Danio rerio: one gene and its partners. The protein of the gene in region 3 interacts with the protein of the main gene of each other region in a biochemical or structural test. Links are inferred from orthologs where the notes say so. Each region holds a gene or a part of one and is shown on either strand. Other genes may lie near its edges.

Region 1 (3,660 bases), on a different chromosome or scaffold from region 3:
GCAAGCGCATATCTTAGCCTTGAGTTTGTTCACACTCTGCCTGTATTAACATAAATGCTGTATTTTAATATAGCTAATTTTGATTAGCTTTAACTGACAGCCTTTTCTTCTTTTTCCGCGGTTATGCGGCATTATATTTCACACGCATATGCAAGGTGACTGAATATGAAATTAAAATACAAAACTTACTGAGCCATTAAGTAAAAAAACAAAACAAAACAGTTATACTTTAAAGCAGAACATTGACGTTTTGAAATAAAAAAACGCAACTGAAACTAAATTATTAAAAATAAACCTGCCAGACTTAATTTATGTCCTATTTTCATTATTTATTTATTTTCATTATTCGTTTATTATTATGTACTGAAACATAAAATGAGATAGTAAAATATAATCAACAACGAAAATGTAAATAAAAACGTAAATTAAAAACATAAATGAAAATATCTTGTCTTAGTCCTATCAAAATAGCAAACTACATCTCTCTATATTTAGACTAAAAGACTGCTTTATTTATTTAATTATTTATTTATTTATTTATTTATTTATTTATTTAAGACTACTTATTTGTACTGAATGTTTATGCTTTCACTTTAGTTGTCTTTCATTTCTTCAGTTCTATTTTCCAAAACGAATCCTCTTTGCACTTAAAAAGTTCACAATAAACCAGGTAAACAAATTTTAAATGTAAGTTGAGGTGATCGCAAGTTCACAACTGTGAGGTGATGTGCTCTACTGGCAGGATAATCTATATTATTTTGCTGTTTTTCATATGCGCACGTTTAAGATTTGAGATAATAACATTGCCATGATAGTCAAAGAAATCAAAACATTATTTTCACCCCAACGCAATTTAATCGGGCACTGAAGGCTAATAACTTAATTCTTATATTTGCTTTTTGACTTCTCATCATGTCTTTTCTACAGCATAGTATAGTGTAAGAGCATGTCTATTACCAGAAAAAACTAAATTAAAATTATATTTTAATTGAACACATCACATCACACACAGTAAGCTACGCCTACAGAACAGTCTGTTTAGCATTGTGAAAAGGCAAAGCTGAATATCTGTGGTTAAAGTGCCACCCAGCGGTCAAATGCTGCTGGCGCATCAAGTACCGCCGTCGCCGCGGTATGAATGGCGGCACAAGGAACACATTGAAGTAGTAACATCTGTATATCAGTAATATAACACAATTATTGCTGTTTTCTCAAAAGCAGAATATTGTATTCTAGAGCTGCACAAAATATTTCAGCAGCAAATTATAATATTTGTAGTTTTTGCAAAAAAATAATTGTATTAAATTATTTAAATGGTGAAGAACATGCAGTGTTTTGTTTGTTATTCAGTGTATATTATTCAGTGAATACTTTAAGACTGCTCATATTTTATTTGTATCGTTGCTCTGTTGTATTTATCTATACTTTTAATATGTTTATTACATTTATTGGAGATGCACTCTCCTACAAATTCATTCATCTTTATCTTTTGATCTTTATGTCTATAGTGCTTTTACAAAGTAGATTGTGTCAAGGCAACTAAACTTAGAAGTTCCAGTAAATTGATGTTTTGTCTTTATTTTTGTAGTGCTTTTATGATGCACATTGTGTCAAAACAGCTTACCATAGATGAAGAAAATAGAATAAAAGCCACTTTGTAGAACATTCCAGCATTTAAGGCAGACAGGAGAGAAGTCGTACAACTGTTTTAGTTCCAGTTAGATTAAAACTGATTCAGTTCTATTTAATAAAGATTTCACTGCTGAAGTTCAGTTCAGTTTAAAATGTAACTGCTAAAGAGCAGGCCTTAAACAAGCAAGCCAGTCCAGTTAGATTAAGTTCCAGTTAGTTCCAGTTAGTTCCAGTTAGATTAAAACTGATTCAGTTCTATTTAATAAAGATTTCACTGCTGAAGTTCAGTTCAGTTTAATTAAAATGTGACTGCTGAAGAGCAGGCCTTAAGCAAGCAAGCCAGTCCAAAGGATCCAAAACATCAATTTATAAAAAAAAAATGGGGAGAAATTAGGCGCAGTCTGGTTTTATAACATTTTAAAAGCACTGAAATCAGACAACGTATCTCAGTTAAGGTCAGACAATTTTAGGCATTCTGTGAGAAAATGGAATTAAGCATCTAAAAGCAAGCCTAACGGGCCCAAGTAAATTGATCGTAAAAAATGCCTCTATCATGAAACATTTTCTAATTGCAGTCAGAATGACATGACTGGCAAAGAGAGTGACCTGAATGGAGAGAGTCAGGCATGATAGGAAGTTTGTTGTTATTAGAGAATGCCTAGTAGTGTAAAGATGCCTTTTGAAAACCTAGTGTATATAATTTAATTTGATACAAATCTGTTTAGACAGTCAAGACATAACAATTAAGAATTATTTCAAGTCAAGTCAAGCCGTATTGTCATTCTACTACACGTCAGAACATACAGTTGAGTACAGTGATGTGTCTTGCAGTACCATGGTGCTACAAACTACAATGTAGATATTGGGACTAGCAGAGTTTTGCATAGTTCAAAGTTCCTCAAAATATAAACTTAGTCTTTCTGCTATTTCTTCTTGCAGTGATAATGAGGAGGACAGAGTTTCACAGAATGGGCGTCCTGCAAAGTTGGAGTTCAAAGACGATGAGGAGATTATTACAACCAATAGCATTCAAATCACTCAAAGCACAGATACAATCACCTCCAACTCCACTACCACCACCCTTACACGCAAACGTGGTGGAGTCCCATCTAAAACAGTTGACTTGGGTGCAGCTGCTCATTACACTGGAGACAATAGTAGTCCAGAAGCTGACAACAAGGTAAAATACTGGCCTTTTAATTAATTCCACTGTTATTACTTTAATAGTACAGTAGATGGCTCATAAAGGCATAATTGATGTCAGTGTTCTCAGTTTGAAAAAAATAAATCTGTCAACAGGAGCCTTGTGAATATAAGTGCATTAATGTACTATTAAAAATAGTTTCACATTAATGGTTCATTACTTCTTTTTGAACAAGTGTTACTTTATATTGATTAAAATATTACTTACTTACAATTGTTGACAATTTATAAATCTATATATCGAGTATTTACATCATGATAATACAAATAATGCATAACCTAATCAGTGTAACTTAATCAGCTTTTTAAAAATATATTTTTTACATACACTGCAAAGCTAAAAATACAAAGTTTGAGTGGACCTATACAGTCGTAGCTGTAGTAGTGATTATGGATACAAAAGCAAACCTCTGCTGCCATCGTGTGGTAAAATATAAAATCATAATATTTTTTTTCAGACCTCAGCAAATCAGTCATCCACCCCAGGACTGACAGATTTGTTGATTGTTCAGTCTGGTTCTGGTCATCTGTTGTCTTCAGGTAAAACCCCATCAGGTGCATTCTCCATATTTAAATGCATGTTTTTTTGCTAAGCATTTATTATTGCTCACACAAGGTTAAGCTTTCAAACTAATTTGGCATTAATTATTTCTTCCAATTTTCTTTAATTCTGGAGATTTAACTCATGTAGATTTTCTTACTCTTACAATTAGATGTTCTTCAGTGATGCAGCTAGATAGTTTTACATTATGGGTGTGTATTGTATGTGTGTAAGTATTTCTCAGTATTTTCAATAAAATGGAATAATTGTTTATTTGCTAACAA
Region 2 (3,660 bases), about 340 kb from region 3:
CCCTAATTTCTGTTTAACAGAGAGAAGATTTTTTTCAGCACATTTCTAAACATAATAGTTTTAATAATTCTAATTCTAATTTCTAATAACCTTCTGATTTTATCTGTCATGATGACAGTAAATAATATTTTACTAGATATTTTTCAGCTTAAAGTGACATTTAAAGGTTTAACTAGCTTAATTAGGTTAACTAGGCAGGTTAGGGTAATTAGGCAAGTTATTGTATAATGATGTTTTGTTCTGCAGACTATTGAAAAAATATAGCTTAAAGGGGCTAATAATTTTGACCTTAAAATGGTGTTTAAAAAAATAATAACTGCTTTTATTCTATCTGAAACAAGTAAGACTTTCTTCAGAAGAAAAAATATTTTTATACATACTGTAAAAATTTCCTTGCTCTGTTAAACATCATTTGGAAAATATTTTAAAAAGAAAAAAAAAATGAAAGGTGGCTAATAATTCTGACTTCAACTGTATTAATAAATAATCGCAACAAAACAAAATATCGCAATGTAAGATTTTTTCAATATCATGCAGCCCTACTTTGAATGTCAAAGCACTCTGTGTTGCAAGCATTAGCATCCAGGAACCTGGCTTCCACTTGTACGGTGGCTCTGTATTGTCAAAATACCACTCAAAATGTTTGCTACGAATGGAAATTAACGAATCAAAAAAAAAAAAAAATCAAACCTATTGTACAATTTTTTATGACACAAAAGTTTTAGAGGCAGTGTGTAAATATACAGTAATTGACACAAGGTGAAGTGAAATGCATCTTTTAATTTGCAAAAATTTTAATAAATTTGATTCATGTTTATTCATTAATTTCCTTTTATGAGCCTAAACTCCTAAATGAAATGTACTCTGCACAGTTATTGTCATCTCATACAATTGTGATTATATGAAATATCTACAATTAAATGTTGTTGTTTTTGTTAAATTGTTACAGATTGGCGTATCGTAACATTTCTCAAAAACAATTTTCAGTTTGTTTGTTTGTTTGTTTGTTTGTTTGTTTATTGCCACATCAGTACCTTGTGGCTATTCCATGTCAAGCTCAACATACATCCCCTCAATTTCTGAAATACTCACACCAACATGGTTGCGCCCCAGCCCACAGCTTTCGAGGCAGAAATGAGACCCTCGGTCCATCTGGAATTTTTGGCGTAAAACTCCTTCATAGATGCAGCTCCCTGTAAGCACGCAAGAAACTTCAGAAACATGTTTTAAACTCAACACTAGCATGTGTTTTGCTCAAAGTGTTCGGTTTCCTCACCCTGCCGCTCTCCACAATGTCCCTCTGCAGGTCTTTGGAGGACAGAACTAATACTCTGATGGCCTGCATAAGATCTGTACAGGACGCCAAAATCCTGCAGGGGGCGACAGAAAGCAACAAATAAAGCCTGTTTAGCATGCGTCAGGGTGGGTCGGCTAATGCGTCTGGGGTGACAGTAAACACGCAGCACTATCCAAGTGAAAAAAAAGTGACATTTTCACAAATCCACTGAGAATTAACACTGTATTTGTATTCATAACACACATGTGGCTCGGTCAGTCTGACCTTTCATTGACTTCCATTTTGATTCCAGTGTCAACCGCCCTGGACTTATTGAGCATTTCCTGTGAGAGAGCAAAGGGGAAAAGCATTAGATGAGTGGACCGGAGCGCTTCATGTTTTATTAAGCGTCGGTCTGAATGGGAGCCGTCTGATTACCTCAATCCTGGCGGCAGCAGACTCTACAGCTGCAGATGTGGCTGCCATCTCCTGCTCCACCAGATCTCCCAGCTCCCCCTGCTGCAGCTCCAAACCCCGAGGACGCAACTTCTGCTCACACAAAACACAAGAGGATACGAGCAAGAAATGGTTAGCATGTTTTGTTTACTGTCTACTATATATGCTAAAATTATAAATATTTAGCCAGAGCAAACTGTGTGGAGTACAGTAATGCAATATGCTTGTTCCCACATTTACAGTTAGTGACTTCTAGCTTTTTCTTGTTTTTTATTTATCGGAGCATACTAATGATTAATGACTTACAAATTATTATTAAAATAATTATTCAATTTAAAATCTTATATTTAAACATTTGAATTTGCAAATAATATATTTTGAAATTCAGTATTACGGAAAGATTGCCCCAAAAGATATGACTTCACAGGAGTTTATTTTTCATTTTCACTTTAAGCATATCATGGTCTTCATGATGTGTAATACTATATACAGATAATACCGTTTCACAATATAAAATCAATTACTGGTATTAATAGTGTTGTTTTCATTCACTAAAATAGTACAAATTATTTACATTAAGTAAATGTGACATCAATTTAAATGGAAATATCAGATGTAAAACTAAAGCGAAAATGAATTTAGATGACACCTTTGCACCTGAGTGAACAATTAAATTATAAAAACAATTAAAAACAGTTTATTAACAAGTAGAAATCAAATTTAATTGAAAAATTAGATGTGAAACAGTCTTAGAAAAAATAATGTTTAAGCTAAAATGACAATCGAAATTTAAACATACATTTTAAAAAATTAAAATGACAATTTAAAAAAACCTTCAAATTATGAAAATCAACAGTAAATTGAATGAAGAGGAGGAAAAGTATTACAATATTTTTATTTTCAATTTAGAGCTTAATTAACCTATTAATTATCTAATTTGATGCAACTACAACATAACACAAAGTAACTTGATGTACAATTGCATCTGCTGAAAATTCATTATGATGGTAATAACTGTATGAATATATATTTTTTTATCTTGATATATTTATTACTATTGTTTGCTTGTTGTTGTTTTTTTTTTGTTTGTTTGTTTTTTTACAATTCCCTCATCTGTAAAGAGCTCATTTGTTGGGGAATAAGTAGGCCCACATGGAATCTGCATTCGCAGATTTCCGCAGATTCATTTATTTGGGTAAATGTGTGTAAATTTTAATTTATTCAATTTTTATTAATTTTAGTAATATTATTGACTATTAGTAGTATTTACTGTCTTTTAGTAGATGTATTATATGAGAGACTTGTTTAGTTTATCAATTTAGTGGATCTAATTGGATTTGCATTTTAAATATTAAAGATAAAAAAGTATAAATTTTTATTACATATATTAAGTTTTTAGCAACAACACTCCAAAAACATCATTCAACATAAATCCAAAGTTTGTTTTTACAAAATTCTCAGCAGAAATAACTAAGAATGTAGGTAAGATTTTGTCTGAACCTAGAAATCCTGAATAAAATGTTACGAAAAAAAGTAGTTAAAACCCGAAATATACAAATAAAAAGCCATTCAAAATATTAAAAGAAAAAAACACTGGACGATATACAGTATATGCTGTATAATATGCAGTAAAAAAAACAGTAATACTTTATACCGGTTTTGGCAGATTATAAATCATTCAGGAAAAGTGTGCTAAAATGGTTCTTTCTGCTAATTACATTCTAACATTTCTTTTTAATCTATCGAAGATTTATTTTCATTACTTTGTGCCTTTATTTAGACTGAGCAAGACAGACTGGCAAAAAGTGAGCGGAAAAAAATGGGGCTGAAATGAGGAAAGACCCCCAAGCAGATACTCAAATGCCCAAAACATATCAGAGCCCTGCCAACATTGCTGTTCAATCAACTGTTTTCTTAAACTAAAACCC
Region 3 (3,760 bases):
ATAACTCATATAAAAAAAATAATAATAATAATAACAACAACTTCATTTTCTTTTCAGCTAAGTCCCATTATTAATCAGGGGTCATCACAGCAGAATGAACCTCCAACTTATCCATCATATGTTTTACGCAGCGGATGCCCTTCCAGCCACAAACCAACACTGGGAAACACCCATACACTCAAACACGGGAAGAAATTGTAAACTCCACACAGAAATGCCAACTGACCCAGCCGGGCTCGAACCAGCAACCTTCTTGCTGTGAGGCGATCGTGCTACCCACTGCGCCACCATGGCGCCCACAATAAAAACTTGAGAGCAATAATTTGATAAAGCTATAAAATGTATTATTTTAATTTTATTTCACTTAGTGAAATCTTTATTTACACAATTACAGAGATACTATTTCAATTTTGGTATTTCAACCAAGTATTGGAGATGTACAAAAAGATGATGCAAAACTTAAATGTTGGTTTATAAATTTTGTATTTGCCCACATGTAAAAAAAAAAACACAACAATGACAAAGTAAACACTAGCACTTATGAAGAGTTCTATATTTAAGTACTTTAAACTGTTGTGGTAATATTATAGTTGCTATGTTAACATAATAATTCTAGTAATTAAAACAATGATTTCATAATATATTATATGGTATATTGATCTACATCACAGTTTATTGTGGCAAAACTAAACGTATTTGTTAGTCAATACAGTATGCCACAAAGTGATAGACGTTAGGCCTGTCACAATAATCTATATATCAAGTTATCGCAGATATGGACATGTCCTCAATCATTTTTGGTGATAAAATATATATTGCCCATACATAAGTCTAGCCACATTTTAGATGATAGCGCAGCCTCTTGTTGTCTATTGGAGGTGTTAGTGTAAGTATATTTAAAAAACTATAACTAAAACTAGTATTAAACATAAATAACTATAGTATATGACGAGGCAGTGGCGCAGTAGGTAGTGCTGTCGCCTCACAGCAAGAAGGTCCCTGGAATGAACCTCGGCTCTGTGTGGAGTTTGCATATTCTCCCTGCCTTCGCGTGGGTTTCCTCCGGGTGCTCCGGTTTCCCCCACAGTCCAAAGACATGCGGTACAGGTGAATTGGGTGGCTAAATCGTCAGTAGTGTATGAGTGTGTGTGTGAATGTGTGTGTGGATGTTTCCCAGAGATGGGTTGCAGCTGGAAGGGCATCCGCTGCGTAAAAACTTGCTGGATAAGTTGGCGGTTCATTCTGCTGTGGCCACCCCGGATTAAAAAAGGGACTAAGCCGACAAGAAAATGAATGAATGAACTATAGTATATTTTCGTGTGGGTGTCAGACGAATGAAGATAGATCTGTTACATTTTTACTGATTCTTTTTACCAAGCACTTTTTTTGTCAAAATTTTTTATTATTATTCATTTGTTTGGGATATACATTTTCACATTCTGATTCCTAATTGTTTGGTTGTTAAAATGACAATAATTATATATTAAATGAAAGAGTGTATTTGCATTATGATGCTATTATAGTGTCTTAAAATCACTCTAATACTGTTTATCGCAAAACAAGTTGGTGCTATATATCGTAAAACAAAAAATGGATATTATGACAGGCCTACTAAACGTACCCTTATACAGTAAAATAAACATTACTATATTTCTTGTGGGTGTGAAGGGACTGTTATTTACCTTTAAATAGTGTTGAAATAAATCTGCTGTTGTTTTTATGCTTTAATATTATGTTTTTAACAACTGTCTCGGTTTCCATTATACACTACAACAAAAGTCGAGATTCTTGAAGTAAAATAGTAAAATGTCACGTTAATGCACAAAACCTTCATCTATACAAATCGATTCTTGATGCCTGTCAATCTCTGGTTTACTTATAATTTCCGTCATTATGCCTGATATTTTATATGTGCATGTATGCTGGCTGAGTACATATTATGTTTATTTATTTATTTATTAAAAATCATTTGATTTTCATCACAGATTTTGAAATATCACCTCCCCTTTTTCAATACCAATAAACAATGCATAAATGTGAGAGCTTACGTTTTAATCAACCGACACATTTCCTGACAAAATCAATCCCAGCATGTTTTTAGCTTTATAAAGCTGCCTTAATCCTGTCACCGATCACTGCATGCACCTGCATAGGTTGTGTCTCAAAAGCTAGTGACCTGCCTTCCAGGACCGCATATTCTGAGCATCACAAACTCAACATTACTCACACGTAATATTGAAACGTTTTTGCTCCCAACAACGACCTCGATGTTCTGATTTGAGCATTTCACATTTCACATCCTCGCATGCTATTTGATTCTAACGCTCACGTTAGATATGTTGTTTGGCAGCTCGCGAGTTTTTGATACACAGCCATTGAAATTGATGGGAGGTCATTCATTGAGCTAGTGCTAAAGCTAACGAGCACTGTCACCTCTGTTACAGCACGGCCACCGATTATTAACGTCTCAAAATTATCTCATAAAGCTTGACTGTGATGAAAACCCACCTGCAGGTGCTCCTGGAAGCGGATAGGCAGGATCTGAGCCATGGTTTGGGCTTTGTGTTCTCAATCCTCCCGGCCGGACTCCTCGCAAAAATTCTGCCTAGCTTTAGCGAGCGACGACCTCCTCTCCGCGGACAGCCCGATTCAAAACAGCTCAAATGTAGGAATGTTGCTTTTAATACGCGGAGAATGCAAGTGTCGCGTTTTCGTCGTGTCAAGCCAATCCGCCAGATGGTTGATGTTTTTTCTTCCCTCTCTGCACGGATGGGACTCACTCAGACCCGCAATGGCGGCGGAAACAGCTCAGACTGACAATCCGGAAGCAGCAGTGCGGACTTTGCGGCGGAAGGACATTCGCGATTTCAGCGATTTTGTTCATCAACTAGGCGACTGTCAAAGCCCTGGTTTGGTTTGTGTGAGTGTTTGGAGACATAGCCTTTTATGTTTGATATACAAGTGTCGCTGTAAGTGGTCTAGTTAATTGTAAGTTATTCGTTTTATTTTTGCCACATCATTCAGTAATTCTGATTCAGAGTACGTCAGTTCCGGCTGCTGCTCTCTAGCGGTGTCTTTTCGTTCGTCAACAAATCGCTCGTTTCAAAACGAATCGTCTAACTGTCTGAGAGTGCCGTTACTGAATCGTTTTATACTAGCAAATACTAGTTTAAATAAGTTGTAAGGAAGCCAAATACAGTCCTTGAGAAACTTGTACTTTATGTTTGTTAAACATTTGGAAGAATGTAAATAACTGATAGAAGTAGAAACACTCATGTATGCAGCTATGGAAAATATTTGAGACCATTTGAAAATATTCGTTTTTTTCGAATTACTTTTTAAAGTTGAGTCAAATACATAGAAATGTATACTTTATTCTGTAAACTACTGATGACTTTTCTTCTTAATTTAAAATGTTGACATTTAGAGCTTTTCGTTAAGTAAAAAAAAAAAGTTCCACGTTTTTAAGGAGATGTGTTATATTCATTTTAAGACAACACCAAACTCTAATGTTTTAACTTCAGAAAAGTTCATAAATAATAATATTTGGTGGAAAAACAATGATTCTTTCTTCACAACACATTAAAACATTTGTTATTTTGATCAGTTGTCAAAACCCCTCTCTTTTTTTTACACAATTCCACTGGATACAGGACTGCTCTAAAATTGTCATGTTTGGTTTCCACTCTAAAGATATAAATAAAATTGAAGTAAAATATTACTCTATCACAAATTATTTAAAAAAACTATTTATTTACAT

What was found.
Region 1: the proteins of cltcb (region 3) and clint1b form a complex in vitro, tested with the Homo sapiens proteins (2 studies listed by BioGRID). The link is inferred for Danio rerio from reciprocal best matches to the Homo sapiens genes CLTC and CLINT1.
Region 2: the proteins of cltcb (region 3) and hip1 form a complex in vitro, tested with the Homo sapiens proteins (3 studies listed by BioGRID). The link is inferred for Danio rerio from reciprocal best matches to the Homo sapiens genes CLTC and HIP1.

Annotation. Positions count from the first base shown.
Region 1 is NC_133196.1:37,155,574-37,159,233, forward strand, and holds part of clint1b (clathrin interactor 1), read left to right. Parts: intron 1-2,571; coding exon 2,572-2,812; intron 2,813-3,293; coding exon 3,294-3,390; intron 3,391-3,660. UniProt on the Homo sapiens protein: Binds to membranes enriched in phosphatidylinositol 4,5-bisphosphate (PtdIns(4,5)P2). May have a role in transport via clathrin-coated vesicles from the trans-Golgi network to endosomes. Stimulates clathrin assembly.
Region 2 is NC_133190.1:19,375,638-19,379,297, forward strand, and holds part of hip1 (huntingtin-interacting protein 1), read right to left. Parts: intron 1,826-3,660; coding exon 1,715-1,825; intron 1,621-1,714; coding exon 1,562-1,620; intron 1,371-1,561; coding exon 1,277-1,370; intron 1,194-1,276; coding exon 1,093-1,193; intron 1-1,092. UniProt on the Homo sapiens protein: Plays a role in clathrin-mediated endocytosis and trafficking. Involved in regulating AMPA receptor trafficking in the central nervous system in an NMDA-dependent manner. Regulates presynaptic nerve terminal activity.
Region 3 is NC_133190.1:19,716,685-19,720,444, reverse strand, and holds the start of cltcb (clathrin heavy chain 1), read right to left. Parts: upstream 2,816-3,760; 5' UTR 2,551-2,815; coding exon 2,509-2,550; intron 1-2,508. UniProt on the Homo sapiens protein: Clathrin is the major protein of the polyhedral coat of coated pits and vesicles. Two different adapter protein complexes link the clathrin lattice either to the plasma membrane or to the trans-Golgi network.